Drosophila melanogaster: one gene and its partner. The protein of the gene in region 2 interacts with the protein of the main gene of each other region in a pairwise test. Each region holds a gene or a part of one and is shown on either strand. Other genes may lie near its edges.

Evidence for each region. Proteins that work in one complex are often made in the same cells at the same time.
Region 1: the proteins of CG15580 (region 2) and CG5062 interact in a two-hybrid assay, tested with the Drosophila melanogaster proteins (one large-scale study listed by BioGRID).

Annotation. Positions count from the first base shown.
Region 1 is NC_004354.4:5,178,335-5,185,078, reverse strand, and holds CG5062 (uncharacterized protein), read left to right. Parts: upstream 1-2,709; 5' UTR 2,710-2,898; coding exon 2,899-3,495; intron 3,496-3,559; coding exon 3,560-4,708; 3' UTR 4,709-4,897; downstream 4,898-6,744.
Region 2 is NT_033777.3:6,053,339-6,060,825, reverse strand, and holds CG15580 (uncharacterized protein), read left to right. Parts: upstream 1-3,289; 5' UTR 3,290-3,335; coding exon 3,336-3,646; intron 3,647-3,771; coding exon 3,772-4,617; intron 4,618-4,838; coding exon 4,839-5,418; intron 5,419-5,526; coding exon 5,527-6,021; 3' UTR 6,022-6,114; downstream 6,115-7,487.

The sequences.
Region 1 (6,744 bases), on a different chromosome or scaffold from region 2:
TTCCCACAAGCCCGCTCCATATACCAGCGCGGAAGGACACTACGATCCACCTGCCGAGTCATTCGAACCCCGGCCCCCGCCAAGTCAATTTGAACAACATTTTGCCGCAGCTCTGGTTATACAAACAAGATTCCACATTCCGCTTCTTGGCTCTCGTTTTCCTCGAAAGGTTTCCCTCGCTGTTCCCCATGCCTATCTTATTTTTCTGTCTAGCTGTGATGATTTGCCATTTGGGGCAGGACCGTCCTAGAGGCACGTAAATTGAATGGCCGGAGCCAAAAGGTTCTGCAACCTGAAGTAAACAAAACAAAAAAAAAAAAAAAAGTCTAGCAAAAATTAAGTGAAAATAATAAACCTTTCGCACACACACATTTTCTGCTGGTGGTGATGGTGGTGACTTGGGTGGTAAAGGAAAAGGCAAATGCTGAAGGGAAAGCAAAAGGGCATTACACACACGTTGACCAACGGATGTCCTGCTGCCTGATGGCATTACAGTTAATTAAAGGTGAACCGATGGCCACAGAGTCCTGCCATCCAGCACAGTGGGTTCAAGAGTCCAGTAAATTGGATTTAATTTCAATATATGTATATTGTGACACTATTTGTACAGCCATTTTTCGGATATTGATGTGTACCGTTGGTTGCAAATAACTTTTGGACTGCAATCTTGCCACCCTAAAAGGTAGTTGTGGATAGGGAGTGATTTTTAATGACTTTCACGATTAAATGCCCAAGGAATCATTTTCAGTGGACCGGAAATTATCCCATGGTGACTGTGCGCATGTGAGCGGAGGTCCACTGTGTGTGTGTTGTGCTGCTGCTGCTGCAGCTGCGTGTGTGTGTTAGTGTGTGTGAGGGCCATGGCAAACTGGAAACTTTGCAAATGAATGGCAAGGCATTGGAAATAATGAGCCGTATTTACATTTCAAAGCGCTCGCACAGAGCGAGAGCTGTAAAAGTTTTTAGCCTCCCCAACGGACTACGGGTCAAAATCAGTTACGGAACTCTGAAATGAAGAAGGATTGCGAGAAAAGAGGAATAAACCCACGGAGGCTGTTGTTGTAGTAGTTGTAGTAGTAGTTGTAGTAGCATTGCACACGCACACGCACACGCACACAGATGAAGCCGGGTAAATCTCCTCCAGAGTTGTGTGGGGAGTAAATTGCGAAAGCTTTCGGTGGCAGGATTGCATACAATTTGTTTTATGGCCATGGCGTGCACATTAAACGCGCACTTAATCACACGCAATGGGCGTGGTCGGTGGATCGTCCCACCGCCCACCATCGTCGTCGTCGTCTACGGCGACAAATCAAATTGATTTCGCTTTTCTGGCTGGCTTGCCCGCTGCCCTTGCCCAAAAATTTGTACGCCCCCTTTTTTTTTTTTGCCCCTTTTGTTGTGTTGTTTTGCGCCTTATTAAATCACTTTTATTGCCATTGAAATGTGAGAAAAGTTTTACGGAGACGATGCCCCCCCTTGTCGTATATATTATAGTACGTAATATGATTTTTAGCTGCTTGCCAAAAAAAAAAAATAATTCATATTTATGGCAAAAACTTCACGCTCAGCGCGATGTGAGAAACATCGGTGTTATTGATGTCTGGCGAACAGGAGTGTATTTCGGGCGGAACCCATGCAGTCAGAGGTGGTCGCTGTTGGTTGTCCATAGTGAAGGCAACCATTTGCCCCACGGCCACCACACCATCTCATCGGAATCTCGAGTATTTGGTATTGGGTGTCGAGTAGCGTAGTAGATGGAGATGTCTCTTTGTGCGCCCAACAACACAAGCGCCACACAAATAGACAAGACAAACACTATGGGCTGGATATTGAGTTTCGGTTTCGAATTCTCTTCCAGCATTCGTCATATGACGACTAAAATGGAATTTGGTCAGTATCGAGTGCACAAAAGACTCCGGCTAGTTAAGTTATACATATACCAAAATACCGTAAAATAAGCATAACTTGAGCAAAAATAATCATTTTCGAGCACTTTCGAGCAGCAAGTGACATGCGGTATTATAGCCCTGCTTAAAAGCCAGCTTGTTGAACTATATATATTCCTCCATTATCCTTTTTTTTCTCTCACCAGCCTAATCTACGGGCAACAGCGAGATTTTCACAAAAAAAATATATAAAAAAAATAAACCAGCGACCCCTATATTCAGGCACTGCGTTTCAGCGAGGCGTGTAATTAAATTTTCATGCCACCTACCTGGTGGCTGGATTTCGAAGGGAGAGTAGGCGGTGGGGCAAGCGGGCCATGGGCGTGGCACTTACATACAAAGAATGCAAATTGTCGGGGCTATTCCAAAATGCAAGCATCAACGCCTTCGAATGCAACCAAAGCAGGCGGAAGTAAATGCAGCAGCGGCGGCAGCCTTTCCCTTTTTCCCCCAACTAGCTTTCCATATATCCTCGCCCCCCCCCCCCCCCCTTCACTTATCCTCTAGTTTTTCCTTCTCACCTGCCACTCGACAAAAAACGACACTCAAGTGGTCAGGTGTGAACAAGTGTAGAAGCAGCGTACACGAGCATGTTTAATTTTGGGATACTCAAATGTATAACCGACCTATTAAAGGAACTCTATGATTCAAAAAGTACCTGTGAGCCTACATTCCCAGCAAATACCCTGTAATTGTAATGCTATACCCAGCAAGCTTTGAATTCATGTAGATTTAACCTGCCAGATTCGATTGGATAAACAAACGAAATATACGAAACAAGCAAACAAAACAAGAGCCTCCGAGCAAATAACACAAACAGACACGCCAACAAACCGAACAAAGGAACAAACTCAATAGCTAAGCGAGAAATCTGCTATTGCGTTTTACCCCACACCCCTCTGGCCATTTGCAATTTCAAACGCGATATACATATAGAATAGAATTCGTCAAGATGCCAATGGTGATGCCATGTCGTTCGCGAGCTGCGATGAAACTGCACCCGGATTGCTATGATCGACTTAAGAAGCCGATTTATCTGGAAACGCCACCATTATCGACCGTCGAAGAGGAGCCACTATGTGGCGTACGCCGTGATAGACCCGTAAAGCCAAAGGTTCAGAGGCGACCATTACCGCCCGGCACACGTCTACCGAATCCAGTAGCCGTGCCTGGACAGAAGATCACACGTTCGGCGGTGGGTGGCGGTAAGGCGCCACCGCGAGCCCGAAAATACGACGGTGCCAAGGCCACGTTCTTTCACATCAAGGGTCAATCATGGGAATCCAAGGGCTATGCGGAGCTCTCACAGTGCGAACTGGATCGCATGCGGGCATCGAGGCCGCGTACCACCGAGGAGCGTCGCGCGGAACAGGATCGCCGGATGGAGGAGCAGCAATATCATACAGCCGAAGCGGAACGTATGCGTAACTATTTCCACGACATTGATGAGCAGCGCAGGGAGAAGGAGCGCGAGGCCCAGAAGAGGGACGATGACGAGGCCGATGAGGATGTCAACGAGGATCGGCGTGCGGAGGCCAAACGATTGCAGGTAGTTTTTTGGTTTATGGTTCTTAGCCATATTTCCGAAAGTATATCTCCACCACCCATTGTAGGTACTACACCGCGCCTTGGATGCCAAATACGAGTCAGATGTGCGAGTTAAGGATGCCACGCGTGCGATATCCGAGGCCAAATGCAGTGCCATGTGGACGGCTCAGATACAGGAAAGGAAGCTACTCAATCGCATTCAACTCGATCATGACGAGGAGATGGCTCGCAAGAATCGCGACTACAACAATGCCAAATGGGGCACGGTGGAGCAGCAAGATCAGGCCGAAGAGGAGAGGCGCCGGCAATTTGGCAACGCAGTGCGTGAACAAATCACTGATCGCGAAAAGTTACGTTTCCTGGCCCAGGATCGTCTGCGATTGGAGGCGCGAGACTTGCGTGCCGCCGTCGATGAGTATAAAAAGGCTGAATTGGCAGAGGGCGAGATGAAATCGCGCCGTAAGCTGGCCTATCGGGATGAATTGAATAAGTATACGAAATTGCATCGCAATTTCGTACGGATGATGTGCGAACAGGATCAAAGAGATGAGAACAGGGCCTACGAGTATCTAAAGCTCAAGGAGCAGCAATTGAAACAACAGCGAGCGGAACGCGAAGCCATCGCGGCGGATGAGAAACGCAAACGGGATGTTCTCTTTGCAGTCGGCCAAAAGATTCTCGATGCTAAGGATAATCGCGAGGAGATGCATTTCCTGGCGGAACACGAACGCCTCGAACGAAAGTACAGAGAAAACGAACGTAAGGCAGCCGAAAAGGAACGCAAAATGGCCGCCGAACTCAAGCGTGCCAATATGGAGCAAATGGAGCATCTTAGCCAAATGAAGGCCTGCTTCTATGTGCAACGTGAACGCGAACTAAAGGAGATGATCGAGTATCGAAAGAAGCACGAGGAGCAAATGAAGCGCGAGGCCGAGGAGCAGGCCATCAAAAAGGCCTGTCTGCGCTCCAGTGTCTCGTGCCAAATCGAAGAACGGGAGAAGGCTCGTCGCCGCGAACTGGAGGAGGAACACTTGGCCTTCGAAAGGGAGCGGGCAGCTGAGGCGCAGCGGCAAAAGGAAATCGATACGGTGATCACAGTCAAACTGGATGATCTACAAAAGCGCGGATGTCTGCCCAATTTGGCGGTGCAATCGCTAAAGGGTCGTGTCGCCAATGCTGGCAACAAAAAGAAGCTGGGCGCTGAATTCACTTAGATAGTTATATTTTCTAAAAATCCATCCATAGACAGACAGCATCAAACACGCGCACACACTCACTCCCACACACACACACACACACACACACAGACACACACATGAACTCAAGTTGACAATGGCATAGATGATGACTTTTCGAGCTTGGCGGAATTAAAACTTGCAGCACATATAAAATGTACATAATGTATATGCACGTATTTTAGCCACCCTGTGGTGGCAACTTTTCCGTGTGTTCCTCGCCTTTTTTGTTTGCTGTCAATTCAACAAGTTAAAACTGCAGACCGCAGACAAAAGGATATATAGACTGGCACTCATTAAGCAGCAGCTGATAGAGCAAACAAAGTTTTTTCTATCGCTGCGCTCACTCTTTTGCATGTATTAAATATGCACACAGATTGCACACGGTATTCGGTGCAACTAAAAGTCAACTTTATCCTGTCGCATTTGCGGCTGCAAAAATAATTAGCCACACAAGTAATCAAAAACAATGGGTTCAAATGCAGTTTTGGGCAGTGGTGTTACTGTTTTATTTAAGGTTAATTATTAACTAGTTTATGATCTAGGGATTTCGCGCAGTTTTGTTGAATATCATTTATTCGTATAAAGGATAAAAACTAAGCAAAACACGCAGCGAAATCGAGTATAAATCACAAAAGAGGCGCCACAGCCACGCCTTCTCGCACGAAGCTATCAATTCTGTAAAGTCAGAGAACAGAACGCTGAGATTAATTGAGTTGGATAAATTTCGCCGGGCTAATACGTCTTTGGGAATTAACCCACGATAGATGAGTGGGGGTTAAAAAGGCGCACACAGACACACAAGGATTAGGGTAAATTAAGTTGAGTTTAAGTAGAGAGGCATTTGTTTCACTTAAATTCGCGAAATTAGCAAAAATTAATTTCACTCGGATGACTATTGATTCGATTTTGTGAAATATTCACAAGAAACAGGCACACGGGCACGAATGGGTTAAGCTGACCGTGACTGCATGGCTGTGGGTCATCCATCCATCGGCATAGCGGCGGGTTAATGATGCAGAAGAATATTGCCCTTGAATGAACTAGCAGCAAGCAAAAAGGCCGAGATGAATGTGTTTCTGGGTTAGCAGAAAATGCCTCTCAATGGCTTAAATACTTGCCATGATGCAGCATTTATGGCAAATATTCACACACACACACACACACACGCACCCACCCACGCACATACACTCGCATATGTACCGCAACATACACACAATATAATTGCCAGTTCCTGCCTGTCGAACACAAAACAAAAATCATAGCATACTTTTCTGTGCGCTCAATGCGAATATACAGTTGTGGGCGAAATAATAGCGTACATTAAAATCACATGCTTAAGACTCTTTCAGCAATCAAGTAAAATTAGAACACCCTTAATTCAGAACCTTTAAGCTATATTCTATAGATACCAAAGATATTCTCATCAATATTCGCATCTTGTGACCTATTATGTTGAACGCACATGTACGTACACATATATTTGTTAAATGTGGAGTACATGTATATGCACACGCACACATACGCAGGCAATTGGAAAGAGGGTAGCTGTGTGTGAGTGTTGCGCGTGTGTGCGTGTGTGTGTGCTTGGTAAAAACAAACAATAGTAAAACTGATTAAGTCGGGGAAAACCACATCAAGCTAAACGATGATGAAGAAAAGACCAAAAGATTACGAACGTTGAACGCTGAGCACAAAAGGGAGAGACAAATGGTTGAAAAGAAGAGAAATGGTAAGGGCAGTGGAGAAAGAAGGAGGAGGACGATGAGAAGAGGGGGGGCATGGAGATGAGGAAGGACATGTGGGGAAAGTTAACTTGATGCGGGCCAAGGATAGACAAACACACATGGTCACTGGAGATGAAAACGAGGTCCAAGGAATAAAAGAATACAACAAGAAAATTCTACCACATATCGAATAATTGAAAGGATATATGTACGTATGTATGTACCTCTATATGTATATGTACATGTACATACATTTATATAGGGCAGATAGGGAGTCTGCTGCGACAA
Region 2 (7,487 bases):
TCGATTGTCCACATGGGGACATTTCGAGTGCCCTCGTCAGAGATCGGATTCGGAGTGACAAGCGAGAATCGGTGGAACTTGGCCGACTTCACCGACTTCGCAAGGGAAGCGGCAAAAGCCTCGACCGACCGCAAACTAAGTCGTTAAAACAAAGAACCCTATCGGCTTACGGAAACTTTGTTGCAGCAGCAGTTCCAGTCCCGGGATGGCAAACATGTTCGCCTCGGCCACTGCCAATTGCAAGTTTTGCATGTAAAGCGGCAAAAGTTTATGCTAAACTTTTGCCATTTTCCATGGATTCTTTCCGTTTGTCCTTTTGTTTTTGGCTGAATTTTAATTCCCTCCGAAAGTATGTAAATGTTGCCGACAGCCAGTATCGAACGGCTCCGATGTCGTTAGATTTTATGTCGAGTTCCGAAGGGTCTACGTCTCCCCACAGTGCGGGGAACCCATAACAATCTGCATAGAAAGCATGTTAAACACGGCAAAATATGGCCCAAATGAAGGGTTTCGACCGACAAGGAGCTGCGTAAACAAGGCATCGCTTACATCTACGACTTGAGAGCTATTTATCGAGCACTCGACTCAATGCAGCAATAAACCAATATTACCACTTGGTAGAGAAACTGTCCTAGCCTCATCAAATATTTGCGGTACAGGTCTGAGGACAACGTATAACGTACGAATTCCTAGAACTCGAGCATTAAAAACAAATGCAACGTCGTGGTGCCCTTAAAATGATTACTTAATAAAGAGGAAGTGGGAAGTCTTGGTAAAAAATAGTAAACACTATCAAAAACTAGACCAATATGCATGGAAACTTTGTGAATTATGCAAATGCACTCGGTTGCCTCTGGCCTGTCCAGTTTCTCTCTGCTCCTCGGGATCGCGCATCCTGCAGATCCTGTGGGCTCAATGGCGCAACACGCGCTGCCCACTGGCTGAGAACATAATTTTCGCACTGCATCTGCCCGTTGCCTTTAAGTTGAATATAATAACAATGAATTGTTCAAAAATGCGTTTCCAGTGTAAGTTCAATTCTTTAAAATTTAAAAGAATCGCTGCCAGTTGTGTATTCCTTTTTCCGCATATCCCTTGTAAAAAATGGGGATATAGGTTTTCCTAAGTGCACACCCTCAATGCCGGACTAGTTCATCAAACTTTGCTCGAACACAAATGAAAGTTTCGAACCGCAGCCATGAAAGATGCAAGGCGTCTGGCCGTGGCCTACCTGCACACTCAGCTGCGATTGGAGCCCTACATTTCACCCAGTACCTCTGCCTCTGACGTGGGCTTTGTAAGGTCAACAAGCCAAAAATGCTTAAAAAATGCAACCGGCCAGGAAAGCGGCAAATGCAAAAGCAAAGTTAGGGTTAAACTCTTTTGTGGCATTAGCGAAACCAGAGAAGGGAAACTCCATCGTGTCGCGACTGAAACTTACATTGTATTTCTATTTGTGAGGCAGCGTCATTTCCGGTTTAGATCGTCCCCGGAGCCAGTGTTGCAAACATGTTAAGCAATCGCGCCAACTTTTTGGTCTTTTCGCCTCAGGGGAAAGGCAAAACTCTGCCGTGAGACGAACGGCAGCTCGTAAATTTCAAAAATTTGAAAACAACAGCGCCGGCAACATATACTTTTCGCGCGCTGGCCGAAATTATTTTAAATCACCTGCTGCCCGGCATTTATCATCAGAGCCAGTCGGACAAGTCGGACTCCCTAACGACCGCAGCCAGTCTTCAGCTCAACTCCCAGGACGACTACAACGGCAGCGAGATTTGCGAAGAGCACTTTATTTTGGCCAAGCCATTGCCACGCCTCCGTCCCCAAGCCCCCATCCACACTCCATCCACGCAGTGAAGTTTTCTCCACCTAACACCGACCCACTCATAATGTCCGCGCTTCTGATGTTATTTTGCCATTTTCGCTCTGGTTTGCGGCTGGGGGAAAACTGTTTTGTTATCACGGTGATAAATGGAAAATTATTTTGAATCGAGCAACTACTTAAAAGAATTCCCAAAGGTTGTAATAAATTTTGGGGCACACACATACACACATACATTCACGTCCGAGAAGGACATGCGAGGAAGGACAAGTTGGTAAGACCGAATCCGAGTTGAGCTGGCTTGGTAATGTCCTTCCAGATAAAAAGGTGATTGACGAAGCGAAAGCAAAAGTCATGGTCGAACTTCCACTTAGCAATGCAGTTGTCGTTCACAGAAAAGGACCAACGACGATGTCGGTGGTTGTGTTGTGTGTAGTGGTGGGCTGGATGGCGAATTTCGTCCTGGCATGCACTTAATTTGTACTGGGAGCTGGGGACCTGGGGCTCCTCCACTTGCTCTGAAGAAATACTCCAAGTTGAGCATATTCACAAAGCTTTGCAGAGCCAGGAATGCTATAGGTGCACACCGTGCCAAATTATTTCCTTACAACTTTAAAACTAAACATTTTATTATATGATACATCCTGGAATATAGCCCACATAGGTAGGAAGTAACAGCTCTTCCGGGAAAATATTATAGCTTATCAACAGTACCACTATAATTAAATAATAATAAATATGCATTAAAAATATAAATATTTTATATGTCCTGGTCACAAGAATTGATACAAAGTCGTTTGGTTTTCTTAAGTGCAGCGTCTTTGTTGGCAGGAGCAGCTACATGCACTATGGAAACCACTTCCAAACTGGGGGCCATCTCCGATCCAGGCACAAAGGCACCCGGACAGGACGAGCACACTCAGCGAGCAGCTCTAACAACATCTATTTTTATTTCATTAGGTAGAAAAATAGCCGGCAAGGTGAAGCTCCTGGCAGCTTCGCCATCAAAACAAAGCGCTGAATATTGGCCAAAACGGAATGGAACGGGGCGGGCGAAGCGGGGCTGGCCACAAAAAGAAACTGCTCTTCGCTTCTCAATTAGGTTAGCTTAATTTAAATTTGCTTCGAGTGCTTGGCAAGTGCTTGCGAGACATTAGCAGCAAATATTAGCAAACGCTTAAAGAGCGCCGTAAGTGGAAAATATCTTAGGCGAGTTTTCTTAAATTAGCCGTTGTAAACATTTGTTACGCACTCGGGTCGGGATTTAGAGTGTCTTAAATGAAAACCGGACAGTTTTTAATGAGGAAGTACGTTTGGCAGGTGCGAGATAACTAAAACATAAAACATGTTCATTGGAGTATGAAGATAGACAAACGGCACTTCCATAAATGTATTAAGGTGCACTGGAACACATGGGTTAAAACCATGTTATACTTATCGATCACTTTCAGAAACAAACTTCAAAAAAAAAGACTTTCAACGCACAAACAAACATACTCGAAAATAACTCCATATGGACTTTGAAGATGATGAGGAGGTTGTGCAACCGCACTATGCTCAGAAATTCCGGGCTCCCACCGATCCCCTCCTTCTGGCCACATATGAGCTTTTTAAGCCCTCTCATCAGACCTTGAACCTATACAGCGAACGGAATCGCGAGATTTTTGCGGAGGCCTTTATAGAGGGAAACTTGAACACTTTAGTCAATCTGAGCGTAAAGAGTCTGGCCAAGCTGGGCATTCGAGGCATATCTCCAACTTTGCAGGCGAGTCCCCAGCTTATGAGGATATTTTACGACGCACTGGATGTGGAGCTGCCTTTGAGGTATGTAACGAAACGGATACAAGTATTTTCATTACATAACCTATAATTTAACATTTGACGCCACTAACTTTATATCGTTATTTACTATGGTTACAAACCCTAATAACTTTATATATATTTCAAAGAGATTGCTATTTGATCGAGGATCAACGATTTTGGCGACGCGTCGTACTAAGCAAGACTTTGGACAAAACGTTGCACCTGAAGCGCTGGAACGAGTTCGACTGGAAGGCTGAGGGTGTGAGCCGGAAGTTTGTGGAGCAGGTTGAATCATGTCCTGTGAACGTGAAGCCGCAGAGAAGGCTGGCTCAGTTGGCTGAAATTGTTTGGCAGTATGTCAACTCCATGCACATCCGCAAGCTGCAAGCTCTGCCCGACTATGCCTTCATTAAGCACTTGGAGAGCGAGCCTGAAGAGGATATATCCTCGGAGTCATCCGACGAGGAGGAGATATCTAGCGATGAGCCGGATACGGAAATGGACGAGGGCGAGGAGGAGCACAAGTCTAGTAGTTCCAGCAGCGAGGCAGCTATTACTTTCTGGCGTGCGGAAACCGAGAACGAGGACACAATTCGCCGGAATGCGCGACATCTGCGCAACGCCAACCGCCAGCAGGCTCGGGATGCCATTGCTAGGAAACGGGAGGATCGCAAGGAGCGCAAGAGGAAGCGCCAGGAGAAACTGGACGCCTTGAAGAATGCGGATCAATCGGGCAAGAAAAAGAAGAAAAAGAAGAAGGAACCGCCCATTCGAGACGTGTTCAGCATAAACGTTGCTCCAGAAGAAGGTGATGACGAGGACACAAAACCGGACAAGCGCAACAAGCAGCTGCTGCTGGAGCGGATCAAGCGGTATGACTATCCGGAGGACCATTGTCATCACATTGATCTGGGATTTGTACGATATTTTGAAAATATGATGTCTCTGACGCTGGAGTTTTTGGGACCACCTGATGTAAAAGACTATCAAAGGTAAGCTCTTAAATTAGAATGTTATGGTAAGAAACAACATCGAAGAAGTGAAACGTGCTGTACACGATTTGTATAACATGTTTTCTCTGAGATAAATGGAACCAAATAAATACATGTGAAGTAGAGTTCTAAAAGCGCCAAGAGTCTACAGCTGCATCGCCTACCACCAGCATTTAAATTAAAATTGCTAGCTTAAACTTAACTTAACTTGTACCTTACAGCCGTTATATGAAGTTCTCAGACAGTGATATGGTTCGTCTTAGCAAAGGTCTGAAATACTTACCGAGCCTCAAGACCTTCAGGCTTCGAAACAGTCGCCTGAGTATGAAGAAGTTTCGTATCCTGACCCGTGCCCTTCAGAACTTAGACACCCTTGATGAGGTGGATTTTGGTTATGACCAAATGACGGATGAGTGCAGCGAAGGCCTGGCCTATTTGCTAAAGCGCCCTTTGATGTACCGCAGTATCCAGCTGGAACACAACAAATTGGGCGCCAATTGTGCAATTGTGCTGGGCGAGGCGTTGAGCCAATCGCAAGTGGGGGTTTTGGAGTATCTGGGCCTGGCTCACAATCCGCTTAATGAATTGGCCCTGCATTCGCTCATAACGTGTATTATCGGAACCCCCCATGTGTGGGCCCTCAACATTTCGGGGATCAACACCACCCTGGGTTCGTTTTCCCGTGATATAGGAACCCTCCTGCGCAGCCACACTCCTCTGATGAGCCTCGAAATGGCCGCCATCAACATTGGCATCTCGCAAGGGAATCAAATACTGAGATCCCTGGAAAAGAATACCCGAGTAAGTATAACATTGAATTAGGTTGGATCGCTGATAATGACCACTTTTGCGAAAGGGGTGCTGAAGATCATTTTTAACTGAGTATTGAACTTACATTCCTATCCTAAGATCCTATACGCCGACTTCCGGGAATGTGAGCTGAGCTTCGACCAGGAATTCGAAGTGGACATGATAGTGCGTCGGAATAACTACATTCATGAAAACCTCCACCACGGCGAGAATCTGTGTAAGGTGGTCAAGGAGCGCCGCCATCCGATTGTCCAGCGAATCGAGGAGGATTTCGCCCGGCGGAAGGGGTGCACGGAGGTGCGGCCGAAGTTCTCGAGCTCCAGCAAGGAATCCATTCCGGAGGTGGTCGTTGAGAAGAAGGAGGTCGAGGAGGAGGGCGACATCTGGGCAATGTTGGCTCGGTGGAACCAGCCGACAGCGCCTGAAGTGAGGGAATCGCACACTTCAAAGGATTCGCACCCCTCTCAAAATGGAAAGACAGAACCATTTGTTTTCGAACCCAACAAGTTCGATCTGGACCAGTTCCGGAAGTCTGTCTTTCTGCCAGGCCCTGGCAATCGCTTTTTCTACCTGCAAAGGAACAAAACTCCCTAATTTGTAGCCCTTTTCACCACCTACAATTGTACATTGCATAACATTGTACTCTGAGTATATTTTCAAAGCATTAAACGCACCACTTAGCAGTCCAACATAGTCCCTATCATTCTCGAGGGCTTGGAATGTCATTCGACCTAATGGTCACTTTAAACCTTCGCCATAAAGTGCCGCGCTGGCATAAACTGAGATCTAATTAAGTCGCTGGCAACGTGTTCGCCTTGGAGCCACGCCCACAATTCCGGGGGCCACACCTCGACCGAAGGTCATTGCAGAGCACAGCAAGTGCAACAAAGTTGAGCAGTTTGCATTTAAGCAGCGGAGATTTGGGCAACAGTGTCTCCAATTTAATGCCACTTCCCCTGGCTACTTCTGCCTTCCAAGCTCCACAGTCAATTCCATAAAATCGTGGGCGTACACTCGGAAAAAATAGTATAATTTCCATGTTGATAAAACAAACTAGAAAGCACTTAAAACACCAGTCCTAAAAACAGCATGTTAAATCCTTTTAACACTTTAGTTAAAAGAATTTTTCAATTCATATTACTTCATTTGAAGACTTAATTTCCAATGTTAACTAGCGGTGATTTTATTGGAAGGCTTCATTTCTTTTAAAGTTTTTCTAAACAAGATATATCTGCTTTTTCAGTGCAAAGAAAGAAGCTCGAACAGTGCTTAGAAGTTCGTCTTGTTAACAAAGCCAAACCTCAGCGAGTATAAACAAATTAATGCATATGCCGGTTCGCCTGAGGTAATGTGTGTCTATCTTGCAATTGGGAGACGTTTCCAGGGAAGTGGGGTAACATATATCGAGGGGGCTAAAGGAAAGGAAGGAAAGCGCGGAGGGGTTGGGTATGAGTTCACGGCCCCATTTTGACAGGATCCCATGAAAGATATATGTGCGCTGGTAACTCAACTTATCAACGCGCCGAGCCACAAACTTTTCTCATCTACTTAACGCAGATAAGCGGCTGCCTTTTCGCCATGTTTGGCTTCTAATTTGCCCAGCCGCAGATACACATTCATAGACCCAACTGATGGTGTTAACTTAATTTTCAGCCAGCACTCGACTGGAGTCCGTAAGGGCTAAAGTAAAGGAAAGAGATGGGCCAACAATCCGGCGGAATCGGAGTCGCCTGACTTTTTCAGACTTCTCTTGTGTGAAATAAAATTAACTAAATACGCTCACGAGTAACATTCATAATAAACATTAAGCAGCAAGGGCGAAAAAAGTCAAATAAATATAAAAAATAATATTTGCCAGACGACTCCTTTTTGCGATTACGAGGCGACGGCCGTGTGGCCAGCGTTTTTGGGTTTTGTCGGGTTGTGGGATCGGGTGAAATTATGGCATAAGTTACTTAGGAGTAAAGCTGGTTTCCTGCTCCTGCTCCTGCTTCTGCTCCCCGGAACTTCCCCACCATTCACAGCCAGCCACCCACTTTCCAGCCCCCCGGCGGAATCAA